2 linked regions of the Lytechinus pictus genome follow. Each later gene encodes a partner of the first gene's protein in a complex. Links are inferred from orthologs where the notes say so. Each region holds a gene or a part of one and is shown on either strand. Other genes may lie near its edges.

What was found.
Region 2: ragulator complex protein LAMTOR4 homolog (region 1) and ragulator complex protein LAMTOR2-like share a complex: the UniProt entries of both Drosophila melanogaster proteins name them as parts of the ragulator complex. The link is inferred for Lytechinus pictus from reciprocal best matches to the Drosophila melanogaster genes Lamtor4 and Lamtor2.

The regions. Positions count from the first base shown.
Region 1 is NC_087260.1:994,905-1,003,880, forward strand, and holds the start of ragulator complex protein LAMTOR4 homolog, read right to left. Parts: upstream 4,024-8,976; 5' UTR 3,661-4,023; coding exon 3,658-3,660; intron 2,917-3,657; coding exon 2,833-2,916; intron 1-2,832. UniProt on the Drosophila melanogaster protein: Regulator of the TOR pathway, a signaling cascade that promotes cell growth in response to growth factors, energy levels, and amino acids. As part of the Ragulator complex, may activate the TOR signaling cascade in response to amino acids.
Region 2 is NC_087254.1:9,444,195-9,452,675, reverse strand, and holds the start of ragulator complex protein LAMTOR2-like, read right to left. Parts: upstream 3,590-8,481; 5' UTR 3,311-3,589; coding exon 3,243-3,310; intron 1,539-3,242; coding exon 1,376-1,538; intron 400-1,375; coding exon 310-399; intron 1-309. Other genes in the region: protein ecdysoneless homolog, read left to right, coding at 3,590-3,791, 4,738-4,852, 5,709-5,796, 7,229-7,407, 8,072-8,481. UniProt on the Drosophila melanogaster protein: Regulator of the TOR pathway, a signaling cascade that promotes cell growth in response to growth factors, energy levels, and amino acids. As part of the Ragulator complex, may activate the TOR signaling cascade in response to amino acids.

The sequences.
Region 1 (8,976 bases):
AACATAATTATGGGGCACTGCAAGAAACTTATGTTCAATTGCAAATCAAGCGTAAGTCTTAAATTCAAATTCAAGCGTAATAAGGTCGAGTTGCAATCGCAATTCAACTACATGTTTAATCAAAGGACTTACCCTTGATTTGGGACGTGTGATTGAGTATAACATTTCTCGCAAAATGCCCTAGTAACATTAAAATTGTTCTTTCGTTTTAAATTGTGTGTTATTATTTTTGACAAGCTGTATTCCTGTCCAAGTCAAATTTCTTAGTTCTCTCAAAAACTGTGCTCAAAATTGTTTCCAAGATTGATAAAGAAAATTTTTCTTTTGTATCATTATCAGTCCACAACTTGCAAACCGTAGGTCCTGGAAAGAGTGAAGAAAAAAATGGCTATATCCAAATCATAGTAAAAGGACATGATGGAATCTCCCAGATTGAGGTAGCAAGCAGAGACCAGGGGAGCGTTTCATCAAGATTTTTGTCCGACAAGTTGTCAGATCTGACATCTTTCCTTGATTTTGATTGGCTGTGAGGCACTGTTACTATGGTAACTGTCGGATAAAACAGGACTTGTCGAATAAAACGTCTGACAAGTCCTTTCATGAAACGCTCCCCAGAAGTCACCAGAGTCAGCAAGTGTGTAGATCTGTGTGTAGAAGAGAGAAAAAAAGAAATAGTTTAAATAATCAAATCAAAGTATGAATTTAATTATCGTGATGATCGATGACGTGCGGTGGCATGTAATTCCCGGTCAACAACAAATGATAGTAGGTTAAGACACCTGAAAAGTTCCACTCAGAACACTGGTGCTCTACCGCAAGTGATGTTTGTGTAGGCCCCACTCCACTTCACTACCGCTACACTACAGTACATGTACGCCACACCTACCCGGGTAGGTGTGTAGCGTAGTGTAGGCTGTAGCAGTAGTGAAGTGGAGACTACACAAATATCACTTGAGGTACGGTGCTCTCTGAGTCTCTGTGTCATTACAAAGATTGCATTTATCTTCATTGTTGAAGGCATTACGCATGCATATATGCAGCAACACTCTAATCAGAAAGAAACACCAGACTCTAATTTTGGCCCACCCAAGGGTTCATTACATGCCGCCGCGCACAGAAAATTCAAGCCATAGAAGTCGTGTGTTGTGGACCCAAGAAGTGAGATCCCAGCACGCGCGACCCACTAGTTAGAAATCCACTGCCAAACGCGGTTCGTGGTGCGAGGTTAGTATACTAATACTAACCTCGCAATACGTGTGAGTGATTTGGGCCAGGAATCAGGGTAATCACCACTCACACGTATTGCGAGGTTAGTATTAGTATACTAACCTCGCACCACGAACCGCGTTTGGCAGTGGATTTCTAACTAGTGGGTCGCTCGTGCTGGGATCTCACTTCTTGGGTCCACAACACACGACTTCTATGGCTTGATTTTTCTGTGCGCGGCGGCATGTAATGAACCCTTGGGTGGGTAATCACTGCTGAAAATTTGTCTGGCTTCATGACATCGGCATCATGGTGATATAATTCTGTGTATAATAAAAACTTAAACATTCCTCTGAAACAGCAGATTTTCAGCCATGGTCCATACCAGTGCTCCTAAATAATTTGAATTAATTTAATCGCCTGCCTGAGTCCTGACCAGTTTTAGAAATCTGAAGAAAAAATCTGCTGGAATTGTGCAAAAACATTATTTCTAAAATAAAGACTTTTTAATTTTAATAGTATACGCCAAAATGCATGATTCTAAACTTATATCAGATCTGTATCTGTCATCTGACCTGAATGCATCGTCAGAACAAGTACAGTTTCCAAACATGCTTACCTTGACTTTTGACTGGATCAAACAGCGTAACCTGCAACATGCATCGGGAGCAAGTGAATGGGACCGTGCAGCTTGGAGTTTTTCAATAGTTAGTAGAGCAACACAACGAAGACTGTCGAGTGGACAAAATCGATCTTTCCAGTTCAGAATTCAATAAAAACCGGGCAAAATAACACAGTTCTGGTTCCCTTATAGTCTGAAGTTGTCGAAAACAGAATTCGGATATCACAATACATGAAGAAAACGGTAAATTCAAAGAAAAATAGAGACCAGGAAGGTGAATCAGCTATCACTGTACTGCTGGCTTGCACAGAGCTAGAGAGCGGCTGAGTGAGTCGATCATCATGTGACGTCATTATTCTCGACTGTATTTGATCGCGGTCTGGGGGGCTGAGAAGGGTCTCTAATAATTTCATTTCTTGCATTTCCACGACATCAATAAGACTTTTTAGTGACATATTTGTGTATAAAAAGACAAGACCTTTCCATTCATATATAATTTGTCTATAATCATCACTTTCGTGAATTTTCTTTGGATGTATACTTTAACGTTTAAAAAAAATCTTGGACAAGACCACTGACCAAGCTGCAAACTTTAATACGAACAGTCTATGAATGGTCTGCCTTCTTCGGAAGATCTCACAGAAAGGTTTGAGAACATTTGTATGGTATCCCTTGTTGCTGTTTTAGCTAAATACATTGAATATTTTTGCCTGCATAATTTACAGTAATTTTAAAATATCAATGTAATAAATTGAGAGTACAGCATTGCATTATTCACGCAAACAGTTCTTTTTAGGTAATTGTGACCAAACCATAAAATCTCATCTGCAAACTTCCCTCAACATTGCGATTACAAAACTAGCATTTCTTCTTTTTACTATTCACATAAAAAAAAAAGATCCCAAAGTAAAAGAGGATGGGATACAGAAATGGGCCCAAGGCACTATAGAGAAAGTATGGGAGGAGGAATAGTGGAAAAGACTACAGAAGTTCTTGGTTCTTACAGCCATGACTGCTCCACTATCATTGAGGATTAGGTATCCCTCCTGGTTGGGTACTTTATCAAGATTATGAGGTCCTGGTCCACTCTGTGAAATATTGAAAATAGAAAAGATTGGATGAAAATGAGATATTTTGCCAAACATATTCATGTATAAGAAAACAAAATTATCTTAGTAAGTGCCAGCTTTTAATCCAGATGAGAAATAATCATGATTATCATCTGCTCAAGCCTAGATGAATGAAGGTATTCTAGTTTATACACAGTTTGTCTATGACTATGTGTCATCAATGCTAGGCTGACTAAGTAAAAATTGTGATGTAAAATTGGTTTTAGTTTTTACTGGACACACCCATCCTTAAGATACAAAAAATAATAAAAGTCTAAAAATTCCTCAGAACAGATGTCTCCTTCCCGATGTTTGCCGAATGCCTAAAATTTACACTGAAAATCATTTTGGGTGTGCAAAAATGTTCCAGATCCAAATTTCATCGGTCACGTCTGTGAAGCATTTTTCACATTTTACGGATTAAAATAATGTCCACTGAGCAAATGTTGGCAGAGTAATGGTCACATATGCGGCATGCGGAGTAAATGTCGGCGGAGCAATCGTTTTCAGTGGAGCAATTGTTGCACTTTGCGGAGCAATCGTCTCATTACGTTTCCTTTTGACTTTAAATTAACATACATGAGCCATTACCATGGACAATTGTTGTTGCGGGCACTAGCCTAGACCAGTACTTAATAGTACACTACAGACATTTACACGGACGAGTCCAGCCCCAGGTCACAGCTCAGCTCCGGGTTAGACAAAGCTCAAATTACTTACCATGATTTTGATATTTGTCCGCACTTTATTTCAATAAAACTGTTGTCAAATTATACTCCCTTGAAATAGATGCTGATGTGAATACTCGTCAGAAAATCAGATTTCAATGAATAAATATGCAGTTTTACAGAATGCCTACTGGACTTTCCGTTACATGACCAAGACTCCGACAAGGCAATACTGCTTGCTGTACCGGTACCGTACTGGTATATGGTACAGCCTACAGGTACAGTTGGTCAGGTGACTACAAGTGGAAGATTGGACGTACATCGACAGTAAAGAGCGCAATGAAACGCTCAGGAAACGCTCAGGAAGAGCGCCCAACAGCGTTGAGTTAGTAATGGGCGCATGGGATCCGGCAATTTCGGGAATCCCCCTTTTAACCCGTACCATGACGTAATGGTTGAAAAATATTCATATAAAATCAACGGTGCATATCTGAACAATTTTTTGCACATGGGTACAGACTACAGAGAGGGATCAGGGGCCGCGGAACGGTTTTCAAAGTGGGGGGGGGGGCTGAGCCAAAAGCAGACCATGCTAAAAATCACAATCATGTGGTAATTTTTACGTTTGTGTATATACGGTTTTGGAAAAAAGTGGGGGGCTGAAGCCTTCCCCCCCCCCCCCGGTTCCACGGCCCCTGGGGATTACTACTGGATCTTTTCAGTGCCATGGGAGAGAAGTAATTTGTCAATGCTGGATTTTATGGGAACTTGAATAGTTGCCCAAGAAACCCTGTGAGCACTGTGACTGCAACCTTGCATGCATGTAGTCTTGGTTTGAGCCCCTGTAGCGCGAAAAAATGCTGCAAAACACCTTTTCATATCTTTAGCGTTTGAAGGAATAGGATATTGGATGAACTACCAAATGATAAAGGTGTGGATGCTGTCATTATTAAGACTTAATTATTTTTGGCGATTTTTTTTTTCAAATCTCTTTTTTATATAGCACATGAGTCTATGGGGAAATAGTTAGTGGTGTGTGCCTTAATGACCTTTTTTTAATTTGAGTATCGCGAGATGGTTGTGTACAAAACATGTGAGAGAAATGAAGGAATAGAATAGACGATTTTTACATTTTAATTTTTTTTCCTTCAATTTTTCCACCTTAAATTTGAGATGAATATATTTTAGAGGTTTCTTGGTAATAAAAGTGGAAATATTCCCATGCGCCACCATTGAGCCCTCTCCAAACTCTCTTCTCTCATTTCCCCCCATATATTTGATATGCGAAGATTTACTTACTCAACTCTCATACTTCCACTGATCTCTCCACTAACTTAATGGAGAGATCAGTGATACTTCCCCAGGAGCATTTTTCGGGCGTTTGGGAGCGTACAAAAATCGACGAAGTGTCCGATCTTCCCCTATATAGGGCTAGGGCATAGAGATATACTAGGGACGGGTTTCATAAAAACAAATTGCTTTTCAAATTGTTGACAGTAATTTTGATAACATTTCTTTTAGTTTCATGGTATTGATAAAAATCCTTTGTTGAGATTTATCCATGCTGTAAAAATGTGTTTATTTATAGATCTAGATAAGATTTGTTTGTGGCAGCATATTTTTTTTACGTCTGAGAGCGCGTTTGACGTTGAAGCGGGGGTTTATTTATAAGATGAAATGGTACAATCCTCGATCCAATAAATATATTCAAACTTTATTGCAATAAGCTCCCAGTATTTGACACAATATACACAAAATCACACAGATATTATCACAAAACTAACTTCCCAGAAGGAAAAACCAGTTACACTGGACCAGTTAGACCAGTAAAATTTTTAACTGGTACTCTGGAAATTGGAACATCGGTTTACTGGTCTAACTGGTCATACTGATCCAGTTGAAATTTTACTGGTCCAGTTAAAAATTAAACTGGTCTTAAATTATTGGAATTTTATACTGGTCTTGTTTCTGGTGGTTGTTACTGGTCTCATGCACTGGTCTTCATATCCAATTCAAGCTGGTCTTTACTGGTATTTTCTACTGGTCTGACTGTCCTCGAACTGGTCCTCTTACTGGGCTAACTCACTGATCTCTCCCTTATCTGGATGGGAACAATAACGCTGATTGGATGGCCTATTCCGTGTTGAAGCACCGGAAGTTGTTACCTCCCCACACGCCGAGTTCCCCCAAAAAAGTCAAAATCGAAGTAGAGTCTGGTTCACGGCAATAGTGTCAATTCTTAATTATACTTACCAGATCAACTCTTATTACAGCACTTTTTAATGTGAATTTATACCTGATACAAAGTTAAAGATGCCATCCTGTGCCGCGTATGATTGCACTAATCGGGACGACCGTGGAAACAGAGAAAAGGGGATTACTTTTCACAGCTAAGACAAGCTGGTGAACTGAATAGTTGTAGACTTTATGTAGTCCCATGTGCTCAAATACATGTGTGGTAATTCTAAATTACCAGAGCAAGTTTCCAAAACTTTAAAACTCCAGGGGGGGGGGGTATATCGCCCGGGGGTTATCGATTGTTGTGATTTCTCTGGAAGCGTGATGAAATTAAACCATGATTCAAATAAATATTCAGTTTATTAATATTCATAACTGTCACCAAGTTTTATGAGTTTATCAGTCATGTTTGGACAGAAGAATATCACGAGACACGAAAATATACTGACCGTGTTAGCCTGTATTCTGAAACTTGACTTAAGTTAAGTAAAGACTGGAAATCTGCCGTTTCGGAGGAGTTGAAAAAAATGATTTTTTGCGAAGCACAGATCCTAGTGACCGAAATAGACTGATTTTTCGGTCAAGGACTAGATCTACAAGGTATTCTGAAAATTATTTTATCTTTTATTTGTGTTAATTTCCTTTGAATTAAAGGACAATAAAATTTACAAGCTAATAGGTACATGTACGGCCGGGTAGGACTATACGTTAGGAGCTAACTGAATGCAACTTGTTGCATGTGAATTTGTGATATTTCTCGTCAACAATAGATCTAATTATTTTTCCCAAGAACTTTTTTTTTTCTTAAAAGTACGTAAAAAAGACATTAGGCTACAGAAACGGATTTACAGACTTCAGAAATTTCACAGAACTTATTTTGAGATGATGAATGTCTTCAAAGAAAAAAAATGTCTCGGTGGAGCAAAAAAAAGGGGGGTTATCAACCAAAAATTTATTGGGGTGACACAAGAAAAATAATCTGACAAGCAAAAAAAAAAGGTTATCAACCCAAATTTAGGGAGGGATGCAATTAAAACAAAAGAAATAATCTGACAAGCAAAAAAAAAAGGTTATCAACCAGAATTTTAGGGCGGACCACAACAATTTTAGGGGGGTTCACCTGAATTTAGGGGGGACGCAGGAAACAAAATTGACAAGCAAAAAGAACAAGAAAGGTTATCAACATAAATTTTGGGGGGTCTGTCCGGCCCCCAACCTAAAATTTAGGGGGGACAGGACCCCCCCCCCCCCCGCTGCCTATATGAACAAACTGGGGAGAGGATAATTGAAGAGGGTCGATCGATGTGACGGAGGGAGAGAGAGAGAGATACACTCTTAAAGGGCGAGTCCACCTCATGGAAAAGATTATTTGAATCGAGAAAAACCACACAATATATGCTGAAAATTTTATCAAAATCAGAAGTAAAATATGAAAGTTATGATATTTTAAAGTTTTACTTAAGCGATTAATTTTTCGGTGTTATGCTTGTTTGATTTTTCGGGGGGTGGACTTAATAAAAGGGGGTTTCAAGCCCAGTGTTATAAGCCTGCATAACCTAGAAAGTCCTCGCCCTATCCCTAAGATGTTATTTGGCAAACCTCCAAAATACCCCTAGACAAGTCAAGGATTTCATCCATTCTAGACGGGTCAATATATGGTTGGACCCGGAACAAATTGCTACAAATTATTTTTCAACTGTTTCTGGCAGTATTTGCCCTCAGGAATAACATACTAAAAATCTACCAAAATCCGCATACGGCAAAGTAGTTATTTTTAAGATGGCGTCCAAGATGGCCGCCATTCACTGAAAATTGATATAACTCACTCATTATCCACCCGAAAGTCCTAATTCGATTCATACTCCATGGTCGAGTGGGTAAACGAATTTATTGATACAGGTCAGAGTGAATATTACCGCGCCAGGAAAATCCAAGATGGCGCCCAAAATGGCTGCCGTAGGCTAAAAGATCCACAATTCATCTATAACTTAATTAGATGGCTTTAATTTGGTTTCTATTCAATGGTTTGAATGTTGAAGTAGTACATCGGGACAAGTTAAAAGGACAGCCAGTTGTTTGGTGTGTCCAAAAATCCAAGATGGTTTCCAAAAATTGAGTTTAAAATGGCTGTCAATAAAATGGACATAACTCATATATCCACCAGGGAGATATGATTTTGGTGTCTAGTCCATGGTTTCAATGGTCAAATAATATATTGGGACAAGTTACAAGGACAGTCAGTGGTTCGGTATGTTCAAAAATCCAAGATGGCTCCCAAAAATGGAGTAGAAAAATGTTGTTCCTACTTACAAAAACCCAACAACATAGTTTGTTCAATGTCCGGGAATATGATTTTTGTGCCTATACCATGATTAAATGGGTAAAATAATACATTGGGATAAGTTACAAGGACGATGGGTGATCAAGTTTGTCCAAAAGTCCACGCTGGCTTAAAAAATAGTACAAATTAGCCCCTGGTATTTACAAATGGACATAGATTATGTAATATCCGTGAAGGGCATTTTGATGTCTATACCATGGTTTTAAAAGTCAGAAAATTAGTAACAAGGATAGTCAGTGGTCCAGTATGTCGAAAATCCAATATGGATTAAAGAAAAATGGAGTCTGAAATGATTGCTGTTACTTTAAAAATGGACTAAGTTCATTTAAAATCCAACAAGGAGATGTGATTTCGGTGTCAACACTATGGTTTCATGGTTAAAATATTACGTTTGGACCGGTTACATTGATATGCAGTTGTCCAGTTTTCCTAAAAGTCCAACAGGGTTTTCAAAAAAGGCAGCTAAAACGTCTCATATCACTCAGTAATGGTCAGAGTTCTACAATATATATCTGTAAGAAATAATTGGTGTCTAAATTGTGTATGCAGGGTCAAATAATACATTCGGACAATTAAAAAAAGATGGTTAGTATTACATTTTGTAAAAAAAAATCCATGGTGGATTATAAAATTACATCAAAATGGGTGCTGTTACCAACTCATGAAACAATATGAAAACTAAGTGTAGGCACCAAGATTATTTCTCACAGGTGGATATTGTTTGAACTATGTCTATTTTTAAGTAACATCACTCACTTTGGAACCCATTTTTTAAGTCAACTTGGATTTTAA
Region 2 (8,481 bases), on another chromosome or scaffold:
TGATACTTGTCAAAAACGATATGGAATAAAAAGGAAGGAAGTGCAGGGGGGTAGAAAGTTTACTTATCTGTTGTAAGAAGAGTGCCTTTTGATTTATTCACTAAACACTCAAATGCATGATTTTTCCATTTTTTTTTTTCCATTTTGAAAATTCATTCAGAAGAAATCTATATTGTAGGCAGGAAATACCTTTTCCACCTTATATGGAAATTAATTCAACTGCTCATTACTACTCATTAACGACAATCATGAAACATATAAAGTCAAATGATAACATCATGAATTGAATAAAAATAATAAATTCCTTACCTTTTTCTTTAACATTCCAAAGCCTACCGATGATTCTGCATGGATGCATAGGAGCAAATTGGCAACCTTAGCGATGGCAACTCGTCCATTCTGAGAGAAAATATAACAGAAATAGATACATATACAATAATTTCCTCACAGATTCAATTCTGGTTATTTGTCTAAATTATATCTAATTCCAAAAAAAAAATCAAAATTGAATAAAATTCTTTTTTTTTAACTTGCTAAATTAGAAAGTGATTCCTAATAAATACCCCTAAAAAGAAGAGAGGAAGTGATAAATATATTAGATCAAACCATTCATAGGTCTTTTTCTGAAAAATGTCTCTTACTTTGAGATCATATTCATTTATAGAAAATTGGCTGAACGTTATTTTCTGGGAGAGGGGAAGGGGGCACTTTCATTATGAAACTGAAACCATACTCTCACATTAACTTTTAAAATGGTCCCGAAGCACTAAAGCAAGTGATTATCCTCGGATCTAGGAGTACCCAACATAGGAATTTTGTCATGATTTCCCCACCCTTATATACTTTCTATTCTGTATTTATGTACTGCCAGTGGAGGACAAATTTCTGTTTTTAATATGGACTAATAAATTAATCTAAATCTAATTTTTTTTTGGTTACTCAAATATTTGATTCTAATTATAGGGGGAGAAGTGTACCCATTTTCTTCTCCTGAATTCATCAATTTTTGATACCATTTTCACCTAATCCATTTAGATCAGCAGCAGAGAGAAATAATCCTTTTCATGTGCTTGTATGTACAAGCATGGTGTGGTCTACACATTGTAATGGCAGTGGAACCGGGATCGTTTCTAAATTTGACAGCTGTCTGAGGCAAGATATTAGACCTTTAACCCATTTTTAAAGAAAACAAATTACCATCTGTTCCATCATTGTTCTTTGTTGTTCTTTAACTGAGATATCTTGTATTCTTTTTCCCCCTTCTTTCTTAGTGCTTTGAAACTTTCGTATAAAGCGCTTTATAAATTTTGCATATTATTATCATTATCTGAACTATTTACAAATTATCCAGACCCTTTCGAAAGAATCAACTTACCTCACAGTCCATGAGCACTAGTTTGAGGTCATCCTCTGTAAAAGCCACCTTGCCATTCTTCTCATACGCTGCCCAAATATTGCTAGCAATGGCTGCCGTCACCCGAGCATCTTTGTCTCCGTAACCAGAATAGGCTAGAAGGGAGCCCTCATTGTTGAGCAATCTGGAGAAAAAAGAGGGAAAATTTATAATCTCATTCATCTGTAGAGATTCTTGCAGTCTTACGCGGGGGGGGGGGGGGGGGGGGAGGGGGGCAATTCCATTGACGAGTGGATACCAGGCGCAACCATGGTGTTTAAAAAAGCACCCTAAATAAGTATTTTCCATATTCTGAAAATACACCCCTTAACAAATATTGGCATGTGAACCCCAAGACCAAAAGCTTCGGTCTCTATATTTGGTTGCTCCGCTGAACTGCGTTGGCTCCACTCACCAGTACATGGGGATGATAGTAAAATGTCAGAAATTGTAATATAAATCCCCAGAAACGACGGTTATTCCTGTCTGGTGAAATCCTACCCTTAACAAGTATTGGAAAAAAAACGATACCCTTGACTAGTATTTCCTGAATTGACCCCCTAAACAAGTGCAGCAATAGTTTAATTGTTAAATAAATCCCCAGAAACGACGGTTATTCCTCATGTCTATCGGATTATTTATCAAAATACACTGTTATTGATGCAACATTCTTACAAAGAGAATTTCACGTTTTATTTTCTCAAAAAATAACTATTGTCAAAATACGGTAGCTGATCGTAGTCATTGCTTTCGTTAACTGTCCCGCTTTTCTCACATGATTCATAAGAATCATAGTCATTCACATTTTGGATGATTTCAAAATATGCAATAAGGGTTTATGATGAATCATTGGGCATTCCTTACATACACGTATGTAACAATCAATTATAACAGTTAAGTTGCAAATTTGCAATTAAATGTAGGCTAAATCATTAAATCTACTACATATGGGTCTATCTGAATACCAGCCTATCATTGATATTGGGACAAATGCAATGTTATTGTTACATGGCAAGTTCCCCCATGTCTGCGCAGTCCCCATTGTCATACGCATATCTGAGCAATTTTAGTAAAAGAAGATACGCAATGAACACAAACTATACACATGCAATACATAGAAAGATATTCATTTAAATATCTGACTCAAAATGTTGGAAAAAATAATGAATTTTGGGCATTTCATGTGACGGTCTCAAAATGCAGCCTTTCTCATCAAAGTCCCTGAATCGGGTGCAAAGTGAATGGATGCGCAGACATGGGGCATCATTTTTTTGTTCAATCTGAAAATGACTGCCCGAACTTTTTTCCAAGAAAAATCATATATTTCTTTCAATTTTTATGAGATATTTGGCACACTAACTCATAATGATGACAAGGAACATTATATCAACTGAAAGATTTTGTAAACTAAAATAAAAAGAAATTCATGTTAATTCTTTACTCAAATCGTTAGGTGCGCAGACTTGGGGACCAACATCGTACTGTTCATGCTTGATCATGAATTTCACTTCATTATAAAACATACCTCTCTTGCCTCTTCTTCACTGTCCCTGACTTAAAAAAAAAATAGACATGAGTAAATACATTTTCAAAATAAGACGAGTCGAGACCACTACAAAACAAAAGACTTGCGAAGGTGTATCATGTCAATTTCAAAGACAAATGATTTTCAGTGTAGGTATTACTACTAGTACCGTAGTTAGATTTCAATATTGACGATGCCACCACTACTATTATTGAACAAGGTTTATCAATGATGATGTGTGTGAGTGTGACTGTGATTGTGACTGATTTTGTATAAAACCAGCAAACATGATCAAATGAAAAAAATTATGAAATATATACTTACAGCGAACTCTGAACTCCTCCAGTATTTGCCTGGCTTAGGACTTGTGTGAGGGCCTTGGGTTTAAGCATTTTGAGTGACGAGATAAATTATTCTAAGGAATTAAAGACCTTTCCAATTCCAATCTTGTAAGTGCAGTTTGGGCAGTCAAAGTACTAGCAGTAGAATCAGCACACACACACCACACAACAATATACTCTATCGTAGCAGCTGAAACTGGTCATGTGATTTTACAGACTGTGCTCCTTTCTTTTAACATAGCTTCATCGTTTCAACCACAGGATTCAACGAAAGAATATATTCAAGTTAAAGCGTTGAATCTTAGCGCATTCTCATATTTTGACTGCGAAATGGAAGGGACAAATCACGTGCAAAACGTTGTAGAATACGATTTGTTTACAAACAACAACTTTGAGGGAAAGAGTTGTAAAGAAATCGAGATATGTTTGCAGGACTTTTTGGACACATGTATGGTTCACTTATCACCACTGCTAGTGGACTACATTTGGCAGCGTGGATCGTTTAAACTGACTCCTGTCAGTTCAGTTTCAGGTTAGTCCCACCCATTAACTTGCTTGTTTTATTTCAGTGTTCAACTCAAAACAAAACTTGTTTTATGATGGTGGGCCCTAAGTCTGCGCACCGAACAATTTGAGTTAAGATTTAACATGAATTTCTTCTTATTTCACAAAATCTTTTGGATAATAATGTTCCTTATATTATTGAGAGTAAGTATACCAAATTTCTCATGAAAAAATGAAAGAAAATATAGGATTTTCTTGAAAAAACCTTGGGCAGTCATTTTCAGATTGAAAAAAAAAATGGTACCCCATGTCTGCGCACTCATTCACTTTGCACACGATTCAGAGATTTTGATGAGAAAGGCTGTATTTTGAGGCCATCACATGAAATGCCCTGAATTCATTATTTTTTCACCATTTTGACTTAAATTTTATTTGAGTCTGATTTTTTTATGAATACCTGTCTATGTATTGCATGTGTAAAGTTCGTGCTCGTTGCGTATCTTCTTTTACTAGAATCGCGCAGATACGCGGGTGCGCAGACTTGGGAGACCGCGCAGACATGGGGGAACTGACCATACTTTTAGATTTCTGAATTGCTCGGTTTAGTTTTCGCAATGCTGCATGGCAATTCACTTCATAAACAGAATAGTTTAAGGATATATTAAAGTGAATAGCACTAAATTTAAGAGTATTTATGGCAATGAATTATGAATTGACGCTTTTTTTTTTGCAGTTAATTATTTAGTCATTATTCATGTTATTAGTGTTCTTTCTTCCACCTATCATCTCTATCAACTTTTACCTTTCCTTTATTGTTTTCTCAAACCCCTTACCACTCTTCCCTTTTTCATTAATGTGCCCACTTTTTTTCCTTCTTCATGTTTTACTTAAAGGGTTAACGTAGAATATTTTTTAAATTTTGTAGTTTACTTCGATTTATGAAAATGTTTTTTTTAATAAATGCAATTTTTCAGATTCTCCACCACACCTTCATGGTGCAACAGACTTTGGTGATAATATTGATGATGAGTGGTTCATTGTCTTCCTTCTATATCAGCTCACAGTTGTCATGCCGGAGCTGGTCATAAGGTGAGAGAAAAAAATGACAATCTTTCTTATGAACTGTACTAAAAATTAATATTGTCCATATTTGGAGGATCATTAGTACACAATCTTTTTTGAAATGGTATGGAAATATAGTGATGAAGATGGATGATGATGATGATGGTAATGGTGATGGTGATGATCATGAAGAAGACAATGGTGATGTAGATGGTGATGGTGGTGGTGGTGATAATGATGGAGGTAAGGATGATGATAGTGATAGTGGTAGTGATGATGATGGTGATGGTGGTAGTGGTGGTAATGATGATGATGGTGAGGGTGAAGTTTAGGATGGTGATGATAAAGGATGAATATGATGATGGTGGTGATGATTATGATGATGATGTTTATGGTGGTAGTGATGTTGATGATGATGGTGGTGAGGGTGAAGGTGAGGGTGGTGATGATAAAGGATGATGATGATGATAATTGTGATGTTGATGATGATGATGAAGTTGATGATGATAATGGTAGTCAGTATTGTCCCCAAATTTGTTTAATATCTTTATGGTTATCCTTCAGAATGCAGGTACAAGTGAGTACAAAACCATTTTAATAGAATAAAGACACATCGCTACAGATCTTGGAAAAGTTTTGTAAAGTAGCTAGTCAAATTCTATTCTTTTAGTACTATTGTTTTAAACAGTCAAAGGTCTTCATAAATCAAAGGTTTAATAGACAAATCACACAGTATATTAATTCCAGAATGCATACTTAAATTGTTCTATTTCAAGTAGCTTAGGAATTATATCTTTTAATACTTATCACGTTACTTTGGGCTTTATATCTTCTGATGATTTGACTATACTCTTGAAATCTAATTATACCTCTTTTTTATCAGTGTTCATGATAATGATGGCGAATTCTTACTGATTGAGGCTGCGTATCATTTACCAAAGTGGCTGGAACCGGAGACTAGCATCAACAGGGTAAGTATATGGTGATGTGCTTGCTTAAGTGGACCTGTTTTACTTTGGACACTTCAATTTTCAAGTTTTGCGAGGAAAGGTCACTTACACATCTGTAATAGAGAAGTGAAATGTGATGTAGAGCATATCACCTTAGTGTGTGAGATGACGATGACTGCTAAAGGTCACAGGATACTGTTCCATAAAGCTGTTTGTAAGTTACGATTTCATGTGCGACTGGTGATCCTTTCTTGGGTGCTTATTCAGTAGTTTGACTATTTTTATTCCCTTCAGCTGAAATTGAAATGTGATCTAAGTAGATTGACATTCTTGCCATTGGCAGGCATCTCAATTCCAAATTCTCAAAAAAAAAATTTGCCTGAAAACTCAGTCTGTGTTGAAAAACCAGTGAACGTTTCAAGTATTTTAGTTAGCACAAGAAAAGGTTCCCTGTAACCATCTGTGTGTCAAGTCATTTGTAACTTGAAGACAGCATTGTCAAACAAGCCTTTGGTTGAAATCAGTGTAATAATAATGTTGATTATGTAATTTGTGAAACTCACCCAGAACACACAATAAGCAGGGTGCTACATAAGCACTTGCCCGATTGCCCGGGGCAAGTAAAAGTTAGAGTTGGGCAAGTGTTTTGAAGTAAAGACCAAACTACTTGCCCGAATTGGGCAAGCAAAATTCTCACAGCAGAATATCAAAATTAGGGTCGATATAATATTGACCCTAATTGTGGTCATGGCCGGAAGATCAGTTCATGTCAAAAGAGAGAAAAAGTTTAATGGTTTATAAAACCGCAAAATTTTCTTTTTAAGAGGTAAAACTTTTTAAAGGATTTTTCGGGCAAGTGAAATAGATTTTGGGGCAAGTATATTCCAACTATTGGAATAATTTACTTGTCTGACAGGGCAAGTGCTTCTAAAAAGTTATGTAGCACCCTGCAATAAGTCACCCAAAATGAATTTCGAAATTGAATATTGAAAAAAGTAAATCTTAAGCTAATTGATAAAATAAATTGATTAAAAGTAAACTACGCAAGTACTTGATCAAATGAAGTAGAGTTTCAGTGAGAGCTTCAAGGCATAGGAGAAATCAGGGTTTGAAGTTCGGGGTTCACTCATGCATGCATTCTATGTAATCTTGTTGGATGTTCCAAGCAGTTCTGCAAAAAAATTGATGTCAAAGAAACTCTTTGTATCTCATTTTTATATACCGGTAACTTTGCAACTTCAAATTTTGACAGTAATGAAGGAAAAGAATTACTCTATCAGGTAAGATTATAAATTTTACTTTTTTCGAAGACCAATTACTATTTTGGCTTATTAAAGATAATCTTACTTGGCAACTTATTCTCAGTTTTGAGGTGGAGGATCACGTATTTAGTTTTGCAACTTTTTCTTAATATTAAATGATTTTCTTAATACTAAACTTTAAATCTTTTCAGGTCTTTATATACAGAGGGGATCTACACATCATTCCCAAGCCAAGTAACCCTGCAGAGCTAGCCTTCCTACCAGCCGGTATTCCTTCTAAATCACATGCCATAGACGTAGTCCGCAGTCATTTTCAGAAAACGCTTGCCAAGTTGACCATCAGAGAAGCAGTCAGAGCAAGAATTGATGAGTAAGCACTGCTTTTCAATATTTTACTACCCTCCCTGACCCCCCCCCCCCTTCTTGTCCCCTTTACTGAAATAGCTTTCCATTTATGAAATATAACAGCTAGTTAAAGCCTGATTTTAGCTTTGATAGACCCCCATGATGCATCTATCACTATTCTAATTTATTACTAGAAAATATGGATGTGTATGCCCTAAAACAGTTACTATGTCAAGGATCAAGCGTAATGAAATGAATTTTACATGATGATTTATTTTGATCGGGTGTCGGATGTATGCAATTTGGTGAATATACTTCTGAAAAGTACGTAATAATTTCATCATTTTCAACAACCATTCTAAAGACAGTTTGATGAAAATTTTTTAGAAATCAAGAGAGGGTGATTTCAAATACAGTGTTGAAACCTTTTATGGTATCGTACAAATGTCAACACCAGCCATAACACCGTATGTGATGTGAGGTTACCAAATTTTATGCCGGTCTTACTATCATCTTCAAGACTTCTCGCATGCTATTGAGATGATCGGCAGAGGTGTGACATCATGAGCTATCGATAATGCCATCCATATCTTTCCCTGTTCAGCAGTCTGTCACATTTTTAACACCAACACCAATCTTGAAGTCACTCAGTGTTTAACTATCAACTTTGTGTGGATTGATATTTGCAGATTCCCTTCGAAAGTGCAATCCAATTTTCATCATACCCATTGCCTGATGCCAGCCAAGCTAGCCGCTATACTGAAACAGCAGCCAAGCTTGGTCTCACCGGCAGTTGAAGCGTTCTATCACAGAGACCCACTTGATTTAAAGGTGAGAAGGAGGAGGATGGATAATGATGATGATGATGATGATGATGATGATGGTGATGATGGTGATGATGGTGATGATGGTGATGATGATGATGCTGGTGATGATGATGATGATGATGATGATGATGATGATGTTGGTGATGATGATGATGATGATGATGATGATGATGATGATGATGATGATGATGATGATGATGATGATGATGATGATGATGATGATGATGATAATGGTGATGATGATGATGCTGGTGATGATGATGATGTGATGA